Anolis sagrei: one gene and its partner. The protein of the gene in region 2 purifies or fractionates together with the protein of the main gene of each other region. This does not show direct contact. Links are inferred from orthologs where the notes say so. Each region holds a gene or a part of one and is shown on either strand. Other genes may lie near its edges.

Region 1 (8,003 bases), about 210 Mb from region 2:
GGCTTCGAACCTGCAACCTTTCGGTCAACAAGTTTAGCAGCTCAGAGGTTTAACTCACTGTGCCAGACATTTAAATCCCAAAACTATATTCACATGTAAATGACACCTATGTGAGCCAAGCCTTTCTGAAGTACTGGGTTGCTGTATGTTTTTCAGGCTGTATGACCATGTTCTAGAAGCATTCTTTCCTGATGTTTCGCCTGCATCTATGATAGGCATCCTCAGAGGTTGTGAGGTCTGTTGGACCTCTTTGGGAAGGTCCAGGGTGGGAGAAAGAACTCTTGACTGTTGGAGGTAGGTGTGAAAGTTTCAACTGGCCATCTTGATTAGCATTTAATGGCCTAGCAGTTTTCAAGGTCTGGCTTCTTACTGCCTGGGGAAATCCTTTGTTGAAAGGTGATTAGCTGTTCCTGGTGGTTTCTTGTCTGGAGTTCCCATTTTTGAATGTTCTTTATTTAATAGTGTCTTGATGTATTGATGTATTGTCATTGTGGTTATTTTGCTTAATTGTTTTGATTTGCTTTGTTTATTGTTGTGTTATGTTTTCTATTGTATTGTGTTTTGAGGCTTCGGCCTGTGTAAGCCGCATCGAGTCCTTCGGGAGATGCTAGCGGGGTACAAATAAAGTTAATAATAATAATAATAATAATATTTACTCTTATTATTTTAGAGTTTTTTAAAATACTGGTAGTCAGATTTTATTCATTTTCATGGTTTATTCCTTTCTGTTGAAATTGTCCACATGTTTGTGGATTTCAATGGGTTGTGTAGTTTGACATGGTAGTTGTTAGAGTGGCCCAGCATTTCTGTGTTCTCAAATAATATGCTGTGTCCAGGTTGATTCATCAGTACTGCTGACAGGTCAATGGTTCGAATCTGGGGAGAGCGGGTTGAGCTCCCTCTAGTTCTCCATGTGGGGACATGAGAAAAGCCACCCACAAGAATAGTAATAACATCAAACATCCGGGCGTCCCCTGGGCAATGTCCTTGCAGATGGCCAATTCTCTCACACCAGAAGCGACTTGCAGTTTCTCAAGTCACTCCTGACATGGAAAAATAAAGTATGGTGATATAGTATTACTGTAGTTAGGCTTATTTTAATAGTAACTCTCAAGCAACCAGAAACTTAGCACCAACCAATCCACATGGATTCTGGTTAATTGAGAGTTTACTGTACACACACAGAGATCATCATCATCCATTATCAGTGTCTGGGTTAAACATTAATGGCCACACTACCTTTTATACTTTGTGGGGAATGAGCCCCGAACGATGATCAAGGGTCTGGAGAACAAGCCCTATGAGAAGCGGTTTAAAGAGCTGGCCATGTTTAGCCTGAAGAAGAGAAGGCTGAGAGGAGACATGATACCCATGTGAATAGAAGTCAATGGGAGGAGGGAACAAGCTTGTTTTCTGCAGCCCTAGGATGCGGAACAATGGCTTCAAATTACAAGAAAGGAGATTCCACCTGAACATTAGGAAGAACTTCCTGACTGTGAGAGCTGTTCGGCAGTGGAACTCTCTGCCCCGGAGCGTGGTGGAGGCTCCTTCTTTGGAGGCTTTTAAAGAGTGGCTGGATGGCCATCTGTCGGGGGTGCTTTGAATGTAATTTCCCTGCTTCTTGGCAGGGGGTTGGACTGGATGGCCCATGAGGACTCTTCCACCTCTATGATTCTATGATTCTGTGAACCTATTATCCACCTACAGAGATGCGCACTCATCCTAATCTGTTTCTCACAGTTGTTTCTTTGGACTGACATGGATTTTCAGGTGGTGAAAATATATGAATGGTTTGAAACAAGCACATATCACACTGATTCCCCAGTATAGGCACTTCATTAAGCTCAGTCAGTTATGTGGCTTAGTTCTTCTATAATTTAACAATACCATTGCACTTAAGAGCAGGCAGGTCTTTTAAACACTCTCTGGGAGCAATTTATAGATGAAACGAAAATCTATCTCTAGGCCATGTTAGCAACTCTGGGTATAAAACTGGGTGAGCTAGTTCTTTCTGATTCAGACAGTGTGGCTATGATCCTGTGTATTCGAGAGTGTTTGTAGAACATTGTGTACTGTTTCCCTTCTCAACTGGGATATAAAATTCTCACAACATTATCCCACAGGGACCATCTCATGGGGAGGATGTTGCTGCTGCCAATGGAATCACATCTTTGACAGAAGATTATATTGATAGTGATGACAATAACAACACAGTGAGCCCTCAGTATCTGCTCAGGATGGTTCTAGGACCCCTATGGAGACCAACATCTGTGGATGCTCAAATCCCATTACATACAGCAGTGCAGTAAGAGAGCATCCCTTATATAAAATAGCAAACACTGTAGAATTAATGCACTTTGTGATTACAGTACTTTATCTGCCAGGGCCAAGTGTTATAGAATCATAGAAACTTGTTTGTTTAGGAACCAACACACTGGCAAAAAAACCAACAACCTTAAAGTCCTTGTAAAACTATAACTCCCATGTCTCCAAAGCATTGCATTAATTCCACAGTGTAGGCTGTTATGAATTGTGGGAGCTGAAGTCCAAAACACCTGGAGGGCCAAAGTTTGCGCATGCTTAGTATAGATGCAGCCTGATGATCCATGAAATGGTAAGAGATAACAGCAGGGCATGTATACACATCAATGTAGTGCTCAAAAGTGCAACAAAATCAAAGTTTGCTTTTTGGATTATTTCCCCTCCAAAATATTTCCAAGTTATGAGTGGTCCAATCTGTGGATGCAGAATCTAAGAGATGACTACCATATGAAGAACAATTAAGATAAACATGATCATATTAATACAGTAGACTTTCCGTTAACCGGAACTCTCAAACAACTGACAAAAAATGAAGAAATAATACTGTGCTTTAACTAAAAATTAAGACCCTCCAGTGGTGCAGTGGGTTAAATCACAGAGCTGCTGAACTTGCTGACTGACAGGTCAGCAGTTTGAATCCAGGGAGTGGGAAGGTCCACTCCGCTCCAGTGGGAAGGTAACAGTGCTGCATGCAGTCATGCCAGCCACATGACCTTGGAGGAAATGTTACATCAAGGAGGTGTTTCTGTGTTATGTTATGTTTAGGTAAAGGTAAAGGTTTCCCCTGACATTAAGTCTAGTCGTGTCCGACTCTGGGGTGGGAGAGGAGTGGTGCTCATCTCCATTTCTAAGTCAAAGAGCTGGTATTGTCCATAGATACCTCCAAGGTCATGTGGCCAGCATGACTGTATGGAGCACCCTTACCTTCCCACAAAAGTAGTACCTATTGATCTACTCACATTTGCATGTTTTTCGAACTGCTAAGTTAGCAGAAACTGAACCTAACAGTGGGAGCTCACAACCTTTCGGTCAGCAAGTTCAACAGCTCAACGGTTTAACCTGATGCACTACCAGCGGGCCTGTGTTATGTTTATTTAAGTTTAATTTTTGGGTTTTATTTTGATAGTTTTATAATTTTATGTTGAGATTTTTATCCACTGTTTTGATTTATTGTTTGTTTGTTTTTGGCACTGAATGTTTGCCACTTTGATACTTTTGCTGGAAACTGCCCTGAGTCCCTTTGGGGAGATGGGGTGGGTTATAAATAAAGTATTATTTTATTATTATTATTTATTTTTAATTACTGCATTTCAATATCAATAACAAGCCAATCCAGAGTTTATGATATAGTATATTAGTTAGGCCGATTTTTAATAATAACTCTCAAGCAACCAGAAACTGCACTTATCCAGCATCTACCAATCCCCCCTGGGTGCCAGTTAACCTAGTCTACTGTGTTGTTGTTGTTATTGTTGTTCTTGTTATTTTGGATTTAATTACTGCATTTCAACCTCAATGTCAAGCCAACCCAGAGTTTATGATATAGTATAATATTAGTTAGGCTGCTTTTTAATAGTAACTCTCAAGCAACCAGAAGCTACATTTATCCTGCATCTACCAATCCCCCTGGATTCCAGTTAACCTAGTCTATTACATTATTATTATTATTATTATTATTATTATTAGTTTTTAATTACTGCATTTCAATATCAATATCAAGCCAAGCCAGAGTTTATGATATAGTAAAATATCAGTTAGGCTGCTTTTTAATAGTAACTCTCAAGCAACCAGAAACTACATTTATTCGGCATCTATTAATCCCCTTGGGTGCCAGTTAACCGACTCTACTGTATTATTATTATTATTATTATGTTTTAAATTATTGAATTTCAACATCAATATCAAGCCAAGCCAGAGTTTATGATATAGTATAATATTAGTTAGGCTGCTTTTTAATAGTAACTCTCAAGCAACCAGAAATTGCATTTATCCAGCACCTACTGATCCCTCTGGGTGCCAGTTAACCTACTCTACTGTGTTGTTGTTATTATTTTGTTTTAATTACTGCATTTCAACATCAATATCAAGCCAAGCCAGAGTTTATGATATAGTATAATATTAGCTAGGCTGATTTTTAATAGTAACTCTCAAGCATCCGGAAACTACATTTATCCAGCATCTATTAATCCCCTTGGGTGCCAGTTAACCGAGTCTATTGCATTATTATTATTATTATTATTCGTTTTTAATATCAATATCAGTTAGGCTGATTTTTAATAGTAACTCTCAAGCAACCAGAAACTGCCTTTATCCGGCATCTATTAATCCCCTTGGGTGCTAGTTAACTGAGTCTACTGTATTAATAATGACAAAGCTTGCAGTGAAACTTGGCCTAGGTTGAAAGAGCGGAACGCTTGCAGCTGCAGGGAGAGGAGGGAATAAGATGTTCTCTCCCTCTGTATGTAGGTCCCCTTCCCCTAGGTACACCCCCCTCCCCAGAACATTGTATACAATGTGTTCCTTTCCTCCCCCTCCTTTCTCTTTCTTCTTCACTTGCTGCTGGGCACTTCTGTGGGGGTGGCATCCTTAGCCTCCGTGGGTGGGTGGGTTGGGTTGCATTGGTGCAGCAGCATCCCAGCCCTTGCCCCCCTCCCTCCCTCCCTCTGTGCCTGCCGTCTTCCCTGTAGGGGGAAAAAAGAGCCAGAGGGGGAAGCCAGCTTGTCTGTCTATCTCTCTCTCTCTCTGCCTGTCTATCTGTCTGCCAGCCAAGTGCTGCTCCCTGGTGCTCAGAGCCTGCTCCATCTCTCCAACTCTCTCTTCTCTCTCTCTCTCATTCATTTCGCCGGCTAACATGCAAGATCATGGCCGCCTTCGGGCTCCTGAGCTATGAGCAGAGACCCCTCAAGCGGTCCCGCTTGGGCCCCCCCGACGTCTACCCGCAGGACCCCAAGCAGAAGGAGGTGAGAGACCCCTGCTTTTGGAGACCCCTCTCCTTCCTCCTCCTCCTCTCCCGGCCTGGGGCGCACCTGGCTGGCTGGCACCTGAGAAAGGAAGGGGGAGGGAGGGAGGGAGGCAATCTTAAAGGGAGGGGCAATGGGAAGATGGAGGGGTGTGTGTGTGTGGGGGGGGGGGGGCTGCCCAGTGAGCCCCCCCCCCCCGAAGGGCGCTGCTTCTAGCATGGGAGCCATTCTGCATGACTTTGGCAGCAGGGCGCCCTCGTGGGTGGGTGAGTGGCTGGGTGAGCTGCATGCCTCTCTATGGGTCTGACGCACTCCCCGCCCCCTCTTCCATCTTCTCTCTTTCCCCACCCCCCTTTTTACCCCGAAACTTTTGAAATATGCCAACGTCGGGAGAGAAAGGCACTCTTCCCCTCCACAAAGGTGGCAGCCCTTTTGGGCAAGGAGGGGAAAGCCCTTTGACACTTTGGGAGGGGGGATACTTGGAGACTCCCCCCCCCTTTTCTCCCTTACACATGTGGGAAACTGACCTTGGTTCCTCATTCCCTCCCTTTGACAGGACTGTATTGAACTAGGCATTCTCTGAGCAGGTAGCCTTACTACACAAACTCCATGGACTAATTAACTTAAAAACATGGGGAGACGTCAGCCAAGGGTCCTGTTTTCTAAATGCACCACTCAAAGCAGACAACTTTAAGGATCTCTTTGTCATTATGACACGTTGAGTATCCTTTATCCGGAATCCCAAAATACTCCCAAATTGTTCACATAGGTGGCTGAGAGAGTGGCATCTCTGCTTTTGTATAGTTCAGCATATACATTAGGCTCTCAGTTCACCAGCATCCATGGGGACTGGTAGGTGCCAGATTAATGTTGTTTCTTGTTGCTTGAAAGTCCCTCTTAGATTTAGACCATGCCATAAATCAGTGTTTCTCAACCTCCTTAATGCCATGACCCCTTAATACAGTTCCTCTTTTGTGGTGTCCCCCAACCATAACATTATTTTCCTTGCTACTTCGTAACTATAATTTTGCTACTGTTATGAATCGTGCAAATTTCTGATATATAGGATGTATTTTCATTCACTGGACCATATTTGGCACAAATACCCAATACACCCAAATTACAAAACTAGTGGAGTTGTGGGGGTGGGGTTTAATGTTGTTATTTGGGAGTGATATTTGCTGGGATTTATCAAAGAGCATTCTGAACTCCACCAAAGAGGGAATTGAACCAAACTTGGCACACATAACTCCCATGACCAACAAAAAATACTGGAAGGGTTTGGTGGGCATTGACCTTTGTGTTTAGGAGTTGTAGTTCACCTACATCCAGAGAGCACTGTGGACTCAAAACAGTGATGGATCTGGACCAAACTTGGCACAAATACTCAATATGCCCAAATGTGTACATTGGTGGAGTTCGGAGAAAATAGACATTGACATTTGGGAGTTGTAGTTGCTGGGATTAATAGTTGAGTTATAATCAAAGAGCATTCTGAACCCCATCAACGAGAGAATTGGGCCAAACTTCCCACATAGAACCCCTATAACCCACAGAAAATACTGTGTTTTCTGATGGTCATTGGAGACCCCTCTGACATCCCCTCATGACTCCTCAGGTTGAGAAACATTGCCATAAATGCTTCTTGATTTGATATTTAATATTGAAACACAGTAATTCAAAGCAAATTCAGGCAAACTTAACATAGAATCATGGAGTTGGAAGACACCGCATGGTCATCCAGTCAAACCCCCACCATGCAGGTAAAGCACAATCAACATTGGGTTGCTGTGAGTTTTCTGAGCTGTATGGCCATGTTCCAGAAGCATTTTCTCCTAATGTTTCACCCACATCTATGGCAGGCATAATCAAAGGTTGTGAGATCTGTTGGAAACTAGGCAAGTGAGGTTTATATATCTCTGAAATACCCAGGGTGGGAGAAAGAACTCCTGTCTGCTTGAGGCAAGTGTGAATGTTGCAGTTGGCTACTTTGATTAGCATTTAATGGCCTCAGGCAATCAACATGCCAGAAAGATAGCCATCCATCCTCTGCTTAAAAGCCTCCATGGCAGGAGCCTCCAACATACTCCAAGGCAGTATAAAACATGTATTTAAATTGTTATGTAAAGTATTATTTCCTTGAAGTTTTGGCATGTTACTTGAGACTTCCAGTTTTTAAAGTTTCAATTAGCCAAGAGTCTGCTATATTCCAAAACTGACAATTTAGAGGGCTGAGATAGTGGCACCTTTGCTTTTGGATAGTTACGCATATACACACTTTCTTTCATGCACAGAATGATAAAAAATATTATATGAATGTACCTTCAGGCTATGCATTTGAATCAAGCATTCGTTCTGTATTTGGGTCCCATCTCCAAGATAAGTCATGATGAATGTGTATGCAAATACATGTAAACCAAAATCTGGGGGGCAAGTCTGAAATGCAATGCATTCCTGGTTCCAAGTATTCTCCAAGCAGGTAGTGCCAGTCACTGACTAGTTGGCTTGGAAAGTGGGAAGATGCTAGCAAAAGGTCCTGATTTGTTTTACAACATATCACTGAAACTTTTAGTACTTGTTTGTTATTACAGGTTGAGCATCCCTCATCCAGAATTCCAAAACACTCCAGTATTGTCTATATGGGTGTCCAGTGGAGTTGCACCTCTGTTTTCTAATAGTTTAAAATACACAATTTTTCTTTATGCACAAACTTATTAAAAT
Region 2 (7,710 bases):
GGACAGGGCAATAAAGTGGCAATAGGAAAGATGACCAGGAAAATTAGATTTGATGTGGACGACTAGGACTGTTTTAAATGGTGTACTTTAAAATTTTGATAAATGTTTTTAATGTTTATGTATGTATATAAGAATTTGTGTCCCGGCAGTGAATGTTTGCCATATATATGCTGTGCCCCACCCTGAGTCCCCTTGGGGGTGAGAAGGGCAGAATATAAATGTTTTAAATAAATAAATAAAATTCAGTAAATAATAAAACTGATAAAAACATAGATCCTCTGCATCTCATTACCAAAATAATTCTCCAATTGCATTGTCCAGTCGTTCCGAGATCAGGGTTTGTCTGCTACACTGCATTTGAGAAAGCCTGCTCAAAAAAACAGGTTTTAACTTTTTTGCGAAATATTAAGAGGGTGGGGGCAGATCTAATGTCCCTAGGGAGGGCGTTCCACAGCCGAGGGACCACCGCTGAAAAGGCCCTGTCTCTCGTCCCCGCCAAACGAATCTGTGAACTAAGCAGCTCACCAGTAACTTTCTTGTCTCTACTTGAAGTTCCACACTTTACACCGGCCCGCATTTTACACTGGCATACGTTCTACCTCAATGTGCTTTATGACAGTATTTCCTGCCCAGTTGACTGTATTTTTGCACTTTCCTGCACTCCTGTAAAAATGTATTGCACTCATTGAATCTGTACCTCAGTTATGTTTCTTGCAGCCGTATTGTTTTTGATATTGCTTTCAATTGTGTCGCTATTTGTTTTATTTGATGTTTTGAATGGTTAAATTGTTTTACATGTGTGTTTCAATTGTAATCTTGGGCGTGTCCCTTTAAGCTGCCCCGAGTCCCCTAGGGGAGATGGTTGGCAGAGTATAAAAATAAAGTTATTATTATATTACTAGCTGTCCCCTGCCACGCGTTGCTGTTGCCCAGTCTGGTGATCTGGAAAATAAAGTAATGGTTTCTAATATATGTAATGTCTTTCTGCTTGTGGGTAAACAGTATTTCTTGCTGTTTCTTTGTCAGTGTTGAAGTGGAGAGTATCTGATTTGCCCATTCTGGAACATGCAACATATTATTGTCCTTCTTTAGGGGTCCCTTTCACATCTAGGATATTATATCTCTCTGTGTGTGAATCATATATATCTATATCTATGGCTGAATGTCTCTTTGTCAGGAGGGCTTTGATTAGATTTTCTTGCCCTGGTGAAGAGAGTTAGTCTGGATGGCCTTAAGTATTTTCTGTTGGTCATGGGGGTTCTGTGTGGGAAATTTGCCCCAATTCTGTCGTTTGTGGGGTTCAGAATGCTCTTAATTGTAGGTGAACTATTTATTTAGAAGTTTTATATTTATTTATTTATTTATTTAGAAGTTTTACATACCGGTCTTCTCACCTCCAAGGAGGGACTCAGTCTGGTTCACAACATGTTTTCATATACAGTAATATACAAAACAGCATAGTGCATCACCATTACACATTAAAATATAAGTACAATAAAAACTATAAATCCCGGCAACGACAGCTCCCAAATGTCAAGGTCTATTTCCCCCAAACTCCACCAGTGTTCACATTTGGGCATATGGAGTATTTGTGGCAAGTTTGATCTAGATCCTTCATTGTTTGAGTCCACAGTGCTCTCTGGATGTAGGTGAACTAAAAACCCCAAACTCACGGTCTATGCCCACCAACCCCTTCCAGAATTTTCTGCTGGTTGTGGGAGTCCTGTGTGTCATCTTTGGTTCAATTCCATCATTGGTGGGGTTCAGAATGCTCTTTGATTGTAGGTGAACTGTAAATCCCAAGAACTACAAATCCCAAATGACAAAACCCATGCTTTTTGAGTGATGGCCACTCCTTGGGGTAGTAGATGTATTGTGTCCAAATTTGGTGCCAATCCGTGCAGTGGTTTTTGAGTTCTGTTAACCCCACAAACGAACATTATATTTTTATTTATACAGATATGTATAAGAAGGCAGGACTGAGAGCAGGGCCTCCCCAGAGGATCTTAGATTCCTGGATGGTTCATAAGGAGAGCTATGTTCAGACGGATAAGCTAGGCCCAACTCCATTTGCTTTGTATTTAATTAAGGCCCCTTCCACATTTTTTGCTTTGAACCGGAATATATGGGAGTGTGGACTCAGGACCCATTCCTAACAGCCTCAGGCCCTTTCCTTTTCCCCCTCAGCCGCATAAGCGGCTGAGGGGGAAAAGGAAGGGGCCTGAGGCTGTTAGGAATGGTGGGAGTTGAAGTCCAAAACACCTGGAAAGTCCAATTTGGCTGAGGAGAAAAGGAAAGGTCCTGAGTCTGTTAGGAATGGTGGGAGTTGGAGTCCAAAACACCTGGAGGTCCCAAATTGGCTGAGGGGGGAAAGGAAGAGGCCTGAGGCTGTTAGGAATGATGGGAGTTGGAGTCCAAGGCACCTGGAGGGCCCAAATTGGCCCATGCCTGTCTCTAGATGGAAACAAGGCGGCCATGGGATGGCCATCCAGGCCTCCACCCCGGGAAGAAGGCTGCTGGCCCGACTCACTCACTCACCCGTCCTTCCGCTTGGCCTTGTAGACGTGCCCGTAGGTGCCCCTGCCCACCTTGCAGCCCTCGTACTCGAAGAGGTCCTCCACTCGCTCGCGCTCCCCGGTCAGCTTCACCTTGAAGTCATAGTCCATCTTCATTCAGAGGCCTGGACTCCTGGCCTTCGCCTCAGGAACCGGGGAGGAGGAGGAGGAGGAGGAAGAGGAGGAGGCCCCGCGACGCGGACCATCCAGGTGAGAGGAAGGGAGGGAGGGAGGAAAGGGCGGCGGCGTTGCTAGGAAGGAAAAAAGGCCCAAGGGTGCGGAGGCTGAGGGGGCCGCGGCCTCTTTCCTCCTCCTCTTTAGTCCTCCTCCTCCTCTTCCTTCTCCTCCTCCTCCTTCTTGTTCCCTCAGCCGGCTGAAGAGAGACCCCCAAGCGCCACAAGAGCCGGTATCTCGCTCCTCGGAATACGGCACTGCCGCAAAAGGAGAGCGCTGTCGTAAAGTCGCCCCTCCCCTCTCCTCACTCCTTCGGCACCACGTGGAAGCCGACCGGCCTTTTAGGCCACGCCCCTCCAGTGAAGCACTTTCCCCAGCATGCACCACGCGGAGAGAAAGATGCAAAGTGGAGTTTGCTTGGTCCCTTCCACACAGAATACCAAGGCAGAAGATCTCACAATATCTGCTTTGAACTGGGATATCAGAGTCCACACTGCCATATATTCCAGTTCAAAGCAGAAAATGTGGGATTTTATTCAACTGTGTGGAAGGGGGCTTAGTCCACACAGCCCTATATCACAGAATATCAAGGCAAAAAAATCTCCTAATGGTCTGCAGCCCCTCCCACAGCAAAAAGTTAGGTAAAATTGCATACCTGTAAGGGCAACGAAACCAAAATATTTTCCAAAAGTCTACATAGGCACCACCAAATGCAGCATTGCCCAGACACGCATCAAGGAACATGAAAGGCACTGCAGACTACTTCAACCAGAGAAGTCAGCCATAGCAGAGCACCTGATGAACCAACCTGGACACAGCATATTATTTGAGAACACAGAAATGCTGGACCACACCAACAACCAAAATGTCAGGCTACACAGAGAAGCCATTGAAATCCACAAGCAAGTGGACAATTTCAACAGAAAGGAGGAAACCATAAAGATGAACAAAATCTGGCTAAGAGTATTAAAAAACTCAAAAATTACAACAGCAAAACAACAGAGAGGAAACAATCAAGCACATCAATTCACTCTCAACAAGAGATTCCCCCCAGGCGCTTCCAGGCCATTGAATGCTAATCAAGGTGATCAGCTGAAACATTACCCTGGTCATTCCACAGATATATAAACCCATTTTCCCTACTTCCAACAGACCTCACTACCTCTGAGGATGCTTGCCATAGATGCAGGCGAAACGTCAGGAGAAAAATTGCCTCCAGAACATGGCCATATAGCCCGGAAAAACCTACAACAACCCAGTATTTCCCAAAAGGCAGAAGCCCCCTTTCCAGTAGGGAGGGCAAGGATGGACACCACAAAAGTTGAATCCTTTAAACTGCAAAAAAAACCTATTTATTATTGCGTGGCCATAGCAATAACGACAAACAAGCATACAGGGATGCAATCAAAGGGTTTGTCGCAACCCCAATGGGGCTGTAGAGCATTTATAGTAAATATAATATACATTTTCATTGGTTCCCAAAGACAAATCATTTCATTGGTCTAAGCTAGCTATGCAGTTGTTCATTATTTGTTTATGATTTTGATTGACATTATAGCACACGTGGGATCCTAACAATGGCACAACTATATCATAAATATGGTCCATTGTTCTCTGACCATGACTGTACCTTATCTGTTAGCCTGTTGCAAACATGGCTTCAGAGTGACTGGGAAACTTGGGGGTTCTAACTAGCCAACAGCTAGCTGGATTTGTCCAGATATACTGTTATCCTTGAATACTAACTTCTTTGGAGCATTGATTTCTCAAACAATCAGCATTTTCTGTGAATATAGGCCTACTGCAGAAATAGGCCAATATGGCAGTAAATCATGACATATGGGCATTGGGGAAATCTCTGAAAAATCCCTTTTTAAAACCACGTCTCCTCCATACCAACACACATACACACATTTACAGAAAACCCACACACAGAGATAGATATCTACATAAAAACTCCAACCATCACCCAAGTCATCTCAAGAACAGAGAAGCATCCTGAGCTCTGAAGATCACCTGGGAAGGAACCCCACTGGAGCATTGCAGCACACCCAAATACCTGGGAGTCACTCTGGACCGTGCTCTTACCTACAAGAAGCATTGCCTGAACATCAAGCAAAAAGTGGATGCTAGAAACAATATCATACCAAAGCTGACTGGCACAACCTGGGGGTCACAACCAGATACAGTGAAGACATCTGCCCTTGCGCTGTGCTACTCTGCTGCTGAGTATGCATGCCCAGTGTGGAACACATCTCACCACACTAAAACAGTGGATGTGGCTCTTAATGAGACATGCCGCATTATCACGGGGTGTCTGCGCCCTACACCACTGGAGAAATTACACTGTCTAGCCGGTATCGCATCACCTGACATCCGCCGGGAAGTGGCAGCCAATAGTGAAAGGACCAAGGCAGAGACATCTCCAGCTCATCCCCTGTTTGGATATCAGCCAGCACGTCAACGATTTAAATCCAGACATAGTTTTCTAAGATCTACAGAGACACTCGCTGGAACACCTCAGCAAGCGAGAGTCCAAAAGTGGCAGGCTCAAACCCAGAACCTCAACCAATGGCTGATACCAAATGAGAGACTCCCCCCTGGTCACACAGAGGACTGGGCGACTTGGAAGGTGCTGAACAGACTGCGCTCTGGCACCACAAGATGCAGAGCCAACCTTCAGAAATGGGGCTACAAAGTGGAATCCTCGACATGCAAGTGTGGAGAGGAGCAAACAACTGACCACCTGCTGCAATGCACCCTGAGCCCAGCCACATGCACAATGGAGGACCTTCTTGCAGCAACACCAGAAGCGCTCCAAGTGGCCAGATACTGATCAAAGGACATTTAATCAACTACCAAACTCACACATTTTGTATTTTCTCTGTTTGTTTGCTTTGTTCTGTTAGAAATGTAATATAATTGACTGGCTGCCCTGACACGAGAAATAAATACACAAGTCAAAAAAGAAGCACCAATTAAAGCCTTGGCAGACAGTGCAAAAAGAATCTGCGAACCCCACCTCCTTCAAGATGAACTGAACCACCTCAACTGTGCTCTCCAGGCCAATGGATACTCCACCTCAGACATCAGAAGAGCTGCAAGACCGAGAACAAGCCACGAGAGTAAAGATGAAGATCCACCCAGAGGAAAAGTGTTCTTGTCATACATCAAGGGAACCACTGACCGCATAGGGTTGGCTTTGAGCCCATCTTTAAATGTCTTCCAACATTCCTTTTTCTGTTCTTGAGTTCGGAATACAGCAACTGCTTTGGGTGGTCAGGCATCCAGACAACATGGCCAGTCCAGCGGAGTTGATGGCGGAGGGCCATCACTTCAATGCTTGTGATCTTTGCTTCTTCCTGCACGCTGACATTTGTCCGCTTGCCTTCCCAAGAGATTTGCAGGATTTTCCAGAGGTAGCACTGATGGTATCGTTCCAGGAGTTGCATGTGACATCTGTAGTCAGTCCATGTTTTGCAGGCATATAGCAGGGTTGGGAGGACAATAGCTTTATAAACAAGTACCTTGGTATCCCTATGGATGTCCCGGTCCTCGAACACACTCTGCTTCATGCAGAAAAATGCTGCACTCTCAGAGCTCAGGCGGTGTTGAATTTCAGTGTCAGTGTTGACTTTTGTGGAGTGGTGGCTGCCAAGGTAGCGGAAATGATCAACATTTTCTAAGTTACGCCATTGGAGAGGTATTGACTGGTGACTGCTGGAAGAGCACTTTGGTTTTCTCGATGTTCAATGACAAGCCGAGCTTCTCTTGAGATACTATAGGGCCTGTCTGAAAGGACCCATAGCTGTTAATTAGGTTAAAAGTACATTTTTTTCTTTATCTTGTAAATTCTTTTAATGTAGTGGAAAATCAAAAATTCAAAAAAGAAAAAAGATTGGAAGATGTCTTTGCAATAATAGATGCTGATTAGAAAATTGCAAACCATTTTTTATGTCTTGATGTTTTAATGTAGTGAAAGTTAAAAGATTGCAACATGTTTCTTTATTTTCTGGATTCTTTCAATGGAGTGAAAACTTATTTTTAAAAGGAAAAAAATACAAAAGGTTGGAAGTTGTTGCCGTAGAATTGATGTATCAACAAGAGATGATGACAAGGAGGTTGTAAGTCATTTTTTAAAAAGAAAGAAAATCTGGATTGTTTTTAATGTGGTGAAAGGTTATAATTATTTGTTACAAGGAAAACGTTTAGAGGTTGCAAGTAATATTTTCCTTTGTTTTCTAGAGTATTTCACTGTAGTGAAAACTTGTAATTATATTTTACAGGAAAATATTAAAAAGGAAGTTGTGGGTAAGGGTGTCTGGGTAATTTTGGTGCATGTTGGGAACTGTAGTTTGGAGCAGTGAAAGTTGCAGCCATTTAATTATATTAAATATATGCAATTATAGCAGCTGATAACGTTGAAAGTCATATTTCTTCTCCTAGATTTTTATTTAATGTAGTGAAAAGTTGTCATTATTTTTTAAAAGGAAGCTGGAGTTAAGGGTCTCTGGATTGTTTTGGTGCCTGATGGGACCTAGAGTTTGAAGCCTGGCTTGATGACATTCCAGCGGTAGAAGTCAGAGACTGGAGCATGATAGGAACTGAGATCTTTGGGGTTTGTGGCTCCATCCCCATGGAAACACATTCCGGAAGGGTAACAGTGTGGAATGGAACGGAAGTGCAAACTGAGGACAGAGATTGCCTTGAAAGGCCATCTGTTAAATGGAATTGTGGGAGTTGTGGCCCAAAAATTGTGAGAGAAGACGTCGTTTTCCACTTTGGTTCAGATCTTTCAGGTTGAGCATCCCTTATCCAAAATGAAATAGTCCACATTTCAGATTTATTTTTTTTATTTTGGAATACTTAAATATACATAATGCTTATCTCAGAGGTGCAGCCCATGCCCAAATGCGAAATTCATTTATGTTTCATATATAACAGATTCGCATAGCCTGAGAGTAATTTTATATATAATATT

What was found.
Region 1: the proteins of CDK8 (region 2) and MED12L purify together in Homo sapiens (affinity purification with mass spectrometry; 3 studies listed by BioGRID and IntAct, counting the BioPlex papers as one, with this or other methods). This does not show direct contact. The link is inferred for Anolis sagrei from reciprocal best matches to the Homo sapiens genes CDK8 and MED12L.

The regions. Positions count from the first base shown.
Region 1 is NC_090023.1:241,542,654-241,550,656, forward strand, and holds the start of MED12L (mediator of RNA polymerase II transcription subunit 12-like protein), read left to right. Parts: upstream 1-4,989; 5' UTR 4,990-5,183; coding exon 5,184-5,282; intron 5,283-8,003. UniProt on the Homo sapiens protein: May be a component of the Mediator complex, a coactivator involved in the regulated transcription of nearly all RNA polymerase II-dependent genes.
Region 2 is NC_090023.1:30,600,416-30,608,125, reverse strand, and holds the start of CDK8 (cyclin-dependent kinase 8), read right to left. Parts: upstream 3,009-7,710; 5' UTR 2,673-3,008; coding exon 2,539-2,672; intron 1-2,538.